Linked DNA regions of Bombyx mori. Each later gene encodes a partner of the first gene's protein in a complex. Links are inferred from orthologs where the notes say so. Each region holds a gene or a part of one and is shown on either strand. Other genes may lie near its edges.

Region 1 (4,226 bases):
TCGCTACACTCGATGGCCCGAAGTTTGGCCTATGCACGGAATAACAGCAGAAGAAGTGGCGAGCACCTTTGTAGCCGGTTGGATTGCTCGATTCGGAGTACCTGCTGTCATCACTACCGACCAGGGACGACAGTTCGAGTCGGACCTTTTCAGACGCCTTACTAATTTATGTGGTACTAAACGTATACGCACTACTAGTTACCACCCTTGTGCCAATGGGCTCGTGGAGCGCATGCATAGACAATTAAAGGCCTCTCTGATGTGTTATGATGATTCGTGGTTGAATGCATTACCTTTGGTCTTATTAGGAATGCGTTCAGCTTTTAAAGAAGATCTACAAGCAACAGTAGCGGAATTGCTTTACGGAGAAACATTAACGCTTCCAGGGGAACTGTTAGTACCTCCCGGTCCTTCTGGTTTCGAGGACCCGACGGATTTTGTCGTAAAGTTAAGACAGCGTATGTCTAAATTGCGTCCCACTCCATGTTCCTCACACACTAAACCATCACCTTTCATATTTAAAAATCTTTCCACCGCCTCTCATGTCATGCTCAGGGAGGATTCGGTTAGACGTTCAATGCAACCACCTTACTCTGGTCCTCATAGAGTTATATCTAGAGCCGAGGACGGAAAAACGTGGTCGATTGATGTAAAAGGGAAACAGGTGACGGTCAGTGTCGACAGAATTAAGCCAGCTTTCGTCGAGCATTCTTTAGTAGATCTCGTTCCAGCCCCAGCACCGCGGGTTTCTGTGCCTCAACCAGCGCAACCGGATGCTACTAATGTCCCTTCATGTCCACTCGTGCCTTCGGCACCTCTAACTGCTACTCCTACACATACACCTCAATATACCACCCGGTCAGGTCGCAGAGTCCACTTCTCCAAACCTTTCGACCTATGATAATTTTTCTCTTTTTCTGCGGATTCTCCTTCTCCGTAGGGGGGTGGTGTGGCGTTTTATTATGCGTAAGCCGGAACGCACGAGATGTGGGAAAAAGGAGATAGTCTGTGCCACAATACCTTTTTTACCGCCAAATATGAAAAACATAAAAATAATTTATAATGAGTTAAATAACTAATTTAATGTAATTACTTTATGCCGCTACAACAATAAAATTAATATTGTTCCAACTGTGGTGTTAATTACATAAAACACAACCAGGCGAAATAAAGAAGGGACTCTATATGAGCTCCCTCAGGTACATTTTTTTCTATGGCTACTGCTATTTACGACTTACATACTAAATCTTTCTAAAACGTCAGACGTCAAAGCAAAGCTTTCAATTTTACTTTTGACATTACTCCCTGACGTTTTACGTTAAAAATTTGTGAAACGAATGATGGGGGTGTCACTGTCGTGTAGAAGAATCTGAATTTGTGTTCACCGTGATATTTGAGATGTTTAAAATAGTATTTAGAAGTTAAAGTGTGCTATACTACTGCATGATTAAGCTCATATAAAATGGCTACCCAGCCTAATGATTATACCGAATTCCCTACGGAGATCATTCTGAAACCTCTGGCTCTGATAGGACTATCTGGACTTGATGCAGTTAACAATGCCGTTCACAAAGAAATCTGGGACGCATTCGCGAATAACCGACGCGCTGATCGCACGCCTGTGAGATTCAAATTACTTAACAATACGTTTGAGTTTCCAGTGGTAAAGCCTAAGAGAAATTCATACGAATGGTACATACCTAAAGGCATACTAAAAAAAAACTGGATACACAAGCGTGTATCGCTAATACCCGCTGTCATAGTCATTTTCTATGATATGGATTGGAATGATACACAGTGGAATGAGAAAATTATAGAATGTGCATCCAAAGTCCAGTCTATCCGTGCTGCAGTAGAGGGACATGCTACTCGTGTGGCTGTAGTAGTCATACAAAGTCGGCAATCTCCTCCTCCTTCTGAGTACATGCTTGGAGCCGAGCGTGCCCAGGCACTTTGTGCTGCTTGTGAGATCCAGTCTAAATCCTTGTTTGTGCTTCCTCATGGTGATCACTTAATGGGTTATATAGTCCGGTTAGAAAATGCATTTTATGATATTGCACAAAATTATTACCACCATGAAGCAAAAAACATTAAGCAGCACAGAGACCACCTCAATAAAACAACACATCAGTATCTCTTTGTCAGACATCAGTTCAAACTGGGCTATCTGAATGAGTTGAAGCAGGACATCAATACTGCACATAAGCATTATGTTCATGCTTACAACAACCTGCTGGAAACAAGAACAGTAGATACAAACCTGCATGAAGTTAGAACAGTTGCTGGCTATATTAACTACAAACTGTGCAAGATACTTTTTGCATTAAATTTGCCAAGAGATGCAATTTCACAATTAAAATCTCACATTGAGAAATACAAAAGTAGAGTTGGTTCTACTGACCTACTGTTTGAACATTATGCGTGGCTAGCTAGACAGTACAGTGCCTTTGGAGAACTTTTTGATGAAGCTATCAGGGCTGGTCTGCCAGCCATTCAATCTCAGCATCCTGGGTTTTACTACCAGCATGCAGCTCAGTTTACTGTAAAAAGAAGACAGGCTATGCGCTCTCTTTGTGCTGAAGCATTACAGTATCCACCTGCTCCAGATCCTTTAGATGGTATTCTAGAATATTATGGTCAGCGACCTTGGAGACCTGGTCGTTTAAGTGCAGATCCTCATGACCCTCAAAAAGAACAGGCAGCTATCTTAGCTCTACAATACAATGAAAGGATATTCAATCATTCTACAATCATCATCAGCTTCCTTGGCAGTGCTATCTCACAGTTTAAGTCATTTCACTCTCCTAGAATGAGGAAGCAACTAGTAGTTGAAATGGCAAATGAATATTTTTATTCTGCTGACTATGGGAAAGCACTAACTTTGCTGACTCACATGTTGTGGGATTACAGGAGAGAAAAATGGTGGTATTTAGCTTCACATGTCTTGAACAGAGCTCTGCAGTGTGCATACCTTGCAGCAAAAATACAAGACTATTTACAGCTGTCAATTGAAGCACTCTCTAAAAATATCCAGGTGCCAAACAATGATAAAGATAGGATATTCAGAAATATAATGTCTGTTATACATTTAAACATTCCAGCTCCTGAACCCGACCTGCCATCCTCTTCTCAAAGCAAAGCTGTGGAATTGTGGCAGTCCATGATCGAAAAAGAGCCTTTGCAGGTTGCTGTGGATATGGCCAACATCTCCAGTTTTTTGGAAATCAAACCTAAATTCAAACAGATGAAATATAGAATGGATGAGTTAATTGAAGTGGAACTGTATGTTAGGCTAACATATCCAGCTGTCCTAGAAGTAAAGAAGGTGTATTTGACAATATCAAGTCAATCTGAGACTATTGAGATCCCAGTAACTGATGATATTAATCAGACCATAACATTAGAAGGGAGCAAAGTGAAAAGGTTTTTGTGTCAGTTCAAACCTAATCCCAAGGATGTTGGATCAGATTTACAGATAAAATGTGTATCTTTTGTTCTTGATTCTGAAAGGAAAAGAAAAATTATATTGAATTTTAAAACTGATGACAAGAAGTCAGAGTCAATTATACATCCAGAATTGTTACACTTCATCATGAGCCCTAAATCTGACTATGAATTTGATTGCATTGTGCCTTTGAGAGTAGCTTCAGTAACATCAAGAGAGTGTAAATGGTCCATTGAAGTTACAAATTGTAGTCCTGCTCTACAGGGAGAATGGTTTCCAACCACTTTCACAGTAACAAACAATGAGGAAATTGCTGTATCTAGTACAAAGATAGCATTATCTTTATTAAGTTCACCTGAAAATCCTAACCCTGAGTCAGTAACAGATTTAAGTTTGAAGGAAGGTGAAGCTCAGTTACAACCTTTACATATTTCTGTGGGCAATGTTAACAGATCAGGAACTCACACTAATACATTCTACTTAAAAACAAACAGAACAGCCACAATAACAGTTCAAATTAGAATATCATACATCATAGACCTTCCTGCAATCAAGAAACTAGAGTGCATGAAAGATTTTACATGTAAAATAACTGTCATCAAACCTTTTGAAGTAACCAGTGCATTTGTTAGTACAGACTTTAGTCCTATTTCTAAATGCTTTGTTGATGACCCCTTTATTGTCATGCCACAAATTAAAATTTTAAGTCCTTGGGATCTTTTAATAATTGACACAGAATTAGAGGTGGTCGATTCATTTAAAAATACAGACAAAACTAAGC
Region 2 (3,780 bases), on another chromosome or scaffold:
ATAATTCATAGTAAAATGGGAACAGTACATGTAAGTTCATAGTTACTAAAGTTATTATAGATAAGAAAGTTCCTCACTTTATTATCTTTAACATCTAAACCAATTTTGACGAAGGTTTGGATGGAAGTAGTTGGAACCATGGGAAACAAATAGAATTTCTTGTATCCCACTTTTGAGCATGTGTTTCCATTTACAAGATGTATTTTTAAATGAATACCAGACTGCTTTTAGTCAACCTGGGTGCAATCTTGGGTAGAAAGCTAGTTTATTATAAACAAAGATTATTTCTTTTTTCAGAATCAACCTGTAGACAAAGATGCAGAAAGAAGACGGGACGCTTGGATACCCAATGAAGAAGCCAAGAAGACATTGATGAAGGTCCATTTTAAATTTAGAACATTTTAGCGCAATAGACAGAACCTCTGATTGGAGCCAATCGCCATTTAAATATGTTCACGCATGAATATGATCACCAAAGATTGTGCAGAGTGTAAAATTTATAACATAGAGATAAAACTATAATTCATCATTAAAAATAAATGCTCATCATTTAGGTAATGACGTATAGGCACTGGGGAATGGCTGTGAACACATATCAAGTAAGATTTTGAAGAATTGTATCTTGTCTATTTTTTTTTATTGCTTAGAAGGGTGGACGATCTCACAGCCCATCTGATGTTAAGTGGTTACTGGGTGGTGGCACCTACCCATGCGGACTCGCAAGAGGTCCTGCCACCAGTAAATCTATGGGATTTGATCCTGGGAATTGTTTAACTAATGATTGTCATAATCACACAAAATGTTTTGCTGTAATAAATACAAACTGTTTTTTTTTATTTGCAGGCACAATCGTCACCTAAAGGTTCATTTTTCCCTGAGAGAGAAGTGTTGACCATGCCAGGATTGGTGCTTGAAGAAGAACTGGTAAGAAAAACTTAAATGAATCTATTTTTGATTATACACGAATATTTTTAAGGTACCAGAAAAAAATATCAGCGGTCTTAGTCAGACTCCGATCATGTAAAACAAATAAATATTACATATAAATATATATATATAAACAATTGTAGTATATACACAAATACGAGCAGGATTCAAAAATGGCACGGGACATTTAAAATCTCAGATCCATTTTCAATGAGGCGCGATAATTCAATTTACATTTAAATGTAGAAGGAATACGGTAATTAGAACACAATCGTGTTTTTGAAACAAAATAAATTTGCCTTATGTCTTATCGGTGAAAGATCATTTTCGCTAAACTGTTTTGTACGTTCCCCCGCCGTATCAGTGGGCGTGACGCCTATCCCTACAGTGTGTGCGAAAAGTAGAGGTATATGTGTTTCAACACTTTCAACGCTGACCCGATAGTTTGGCTTTATTAATGAATATTAGCAATTAGCATGTAAGTTTAGCATTTGGTATGTCCGTGATGTGAAATTTTTCTGTTATGACGTAAAAAATATATTTTACAGCACATTTAAACCAGAGTATATAATATATTGCGCTAAAATATGTTTGTTTTTTTATTGCTTAAATGGGTGGGTGAGCTCACGGCCCACTTGGTGTTTAGTGGTTACCGTAACCCATAGACATCTACAAATGCCGCCACCTACCTTAAGATATGAGTTTTAAGGTCTCAGTACAGTTACAACGGCTGCCCCACTCTTCAAACCGAAACGCATTACTGCTTAACAGTATAATTGGGTAAGGTGGTGGTACCTACCCATGCGGACTCACAACACGTTTGGAACCTCTGGGTCTGCGGAGGGACTTCGGTTCCCTCTGTATTTTGTACCGTATGTTCCATGGGGAGTGCTCTGAGGAATTGTTTGAGATGATCCCCTCATCTCCTTTTTATCATCGCACCTCCCGCCATCGGAGCAGAGTTCGTCCATATTATCTGGAACCGCTGCGTTCATCGACAGAGCGTTTCCAGAGGTCTTCTTTGCCACGTACCATCCGGCTATGGAATGACCTCCCCTCCACGAGCGCTATGACATGTCCTTCTTCAAACGAGGCTTGTGGAGAGTACTTAACGGTAGGCAGCGGCTTGGCTCTGCCCCTGGCGTTGCTGAAGTTCATGGGCGACATGGGTGGCCTTAAAAAAAACACGTCCTACCAGTAAAACATGTAAGTGTGTAAGTCCGTTCGTGTGCCCAGGCGGACGCGTTACAAGAGGTGGCGGTGAAGTACCTGGGCGTGAGCTGCGCGGGCAGCCGCGGGGTGGTGCGCGCCGACCACGTGACCCGGGACGAGCCCGGCCTCCGCGAGCTCATCCGCACCGGGTACTTCAGGGCGGCCGTCAACCTCACCGCGGTGCTCATCAGCGCCGCCGGACAGGGTGACTATATTGGATAACTGTAACTGGTGGTAGGACCTCTTGTGAGTCCGCACGGGTAGGTTTTTATTTATTTATTGCTTAGATGGTTGGATGAGCTCACAGCCCACCTGGTGTTAAGTGGTTACTGGAGCCCATACACAATCTACTTCACGGCAGAAATAGGCAGGGCAGTGGTAGGACCTCTTGTGAGTTCGCACGGTTAGGTACCACCACCCTGCCTATTTCTGCGGTGAAGCAGTAATGCGTTTCGGTTTGAAGGGTGGGGCAGCCGTTGTAACTATACTGAGACCTTAGAACTCATATCTTAAGGTGGGTAGTGGCATTTACGTTGTAGATGTCTATGGGCTCCAGTAACCACTTAACACCAGGTGGGCCGTGAGCTTGTCCACCCTCTTATGCAATAAAAAAAACTTTAACATGAACGTATTTTTTATGAGCATTTACGTAGCCATCATGTACCTATATTTCCTCAGCGCCAAGAAAATAATTTTATTGAGACCGGAGGAAGCTTCTCTCATGTGCGTATGCCCGAAGGGGCGGGTGCCAGCTATTAAGGTAGTTACTATACCAGCTAACTCTAGGCGGACTGTGAGCTCGTGCCTATCTAGTATCTATGCAATAAGGATGCTAGTAAATTCATTACGCGTCCTATCTCCATTTGAGACTGACTGATCGACTCAAGGACCGAATTCGTGATCGGAAATCGGAATAGGCCAATGGCTAACATACCATTACTTGCCTGCCTGGCACTTGTCTCACTCCGTTGGGTCACGAACCGTCGACAGATCGTGACCCTCACTTGAAAAACTCCATAGGAAATCTACGTTGTAACCTCGGATAATTTTTTGAGATGGATGCTATAAATACGAACGAAAAACAATTGACGTTAGCGCGTGTTGGGAATCAGGCAGCACCATCTAGCGATGACAATAGTAATTAAGCCTTTCACTTCACATCTCACCTTGTCCCTCAGGCGTGGGACGGATGCACAGACCCACGAAGCACACGCCGCGCTCCCTCCAGCTCTGGTTGACGAGGTTCTCCCTGATGCTGAGGATCAAGCTACATGAACCCCTGATCAGGGAGGCGGAGCAGTTCGGCGACTGCACCAAACCCGACATGTTTTACCAGGTAATTCGAAATGTGGACACCAGAGAATTTATTACCATTTGAGCAAGCTCTAAGCTCTAAGCTTGGCATTGCTGAAGTCCATGGATTTTTTTATTGTTTAGATGGGTGGACGAGCTCACAGCCCCCTGGTGTTAAGTGGTTACCGGAGCCCATAGACATTTACAACGTAAATGCGCCATCCATCTTGAGATATAAGTTTTAAGGTCTCAGTACAGTTACAACGGCACCCTTCAAACCGAAACGCATTATTGCTTCACGGCAGAAATAGGCAGGATGGTGGTGCCTACCCGCGCGGACTCACAAGA

The links.
Region 2: trafficking protein particle complex subunit 11 (region 1) and trafficking protein particle complex subunit 12 share a complex: the UniProt entries of both Homo sapiens proteins name them as parts of the multisubunit TRAPP (transport protein particle) complex. The link is inferred for Bombyx mori from reciprocal best matches to the Homo sapiens genes TRAPPC11 and TRAPPC12.

Annotation. Positions count from the first base shown.
Region 1 is NC_085125.1:14,660,482-14,664,707, forward strand, and holds the start of trafficking protein particle complex subunit 11, read left to right. Parts: upstream 1-1,273; 5' UTR 1,274-1,462; coding exon 1,463-4,226. UniProt on the Homo sapiens protein: Involved in endoplasmic reticulum to Golgi apparatus trafficking at a very early stage.
Region 2 is NC_085126.1:10,497,240-10,501,019, reverse strand, and holds part of trafficking protein particle complex subunit 12, read left to right. Parts: intron 1-297; coding exon 298-378; intron 379-843; coding exon 844-924; intron 925-2,163; coding exon 2,164-2,344; intron 2,345-3,317; coding exon 3,318-3,475; intron 3,476-3,780. UniProt on the Homo sapiens protein: Component of the TRAPP complex, which is involved in endoplasmic reticulum to Golgi apparatus trafficking at a very early stage.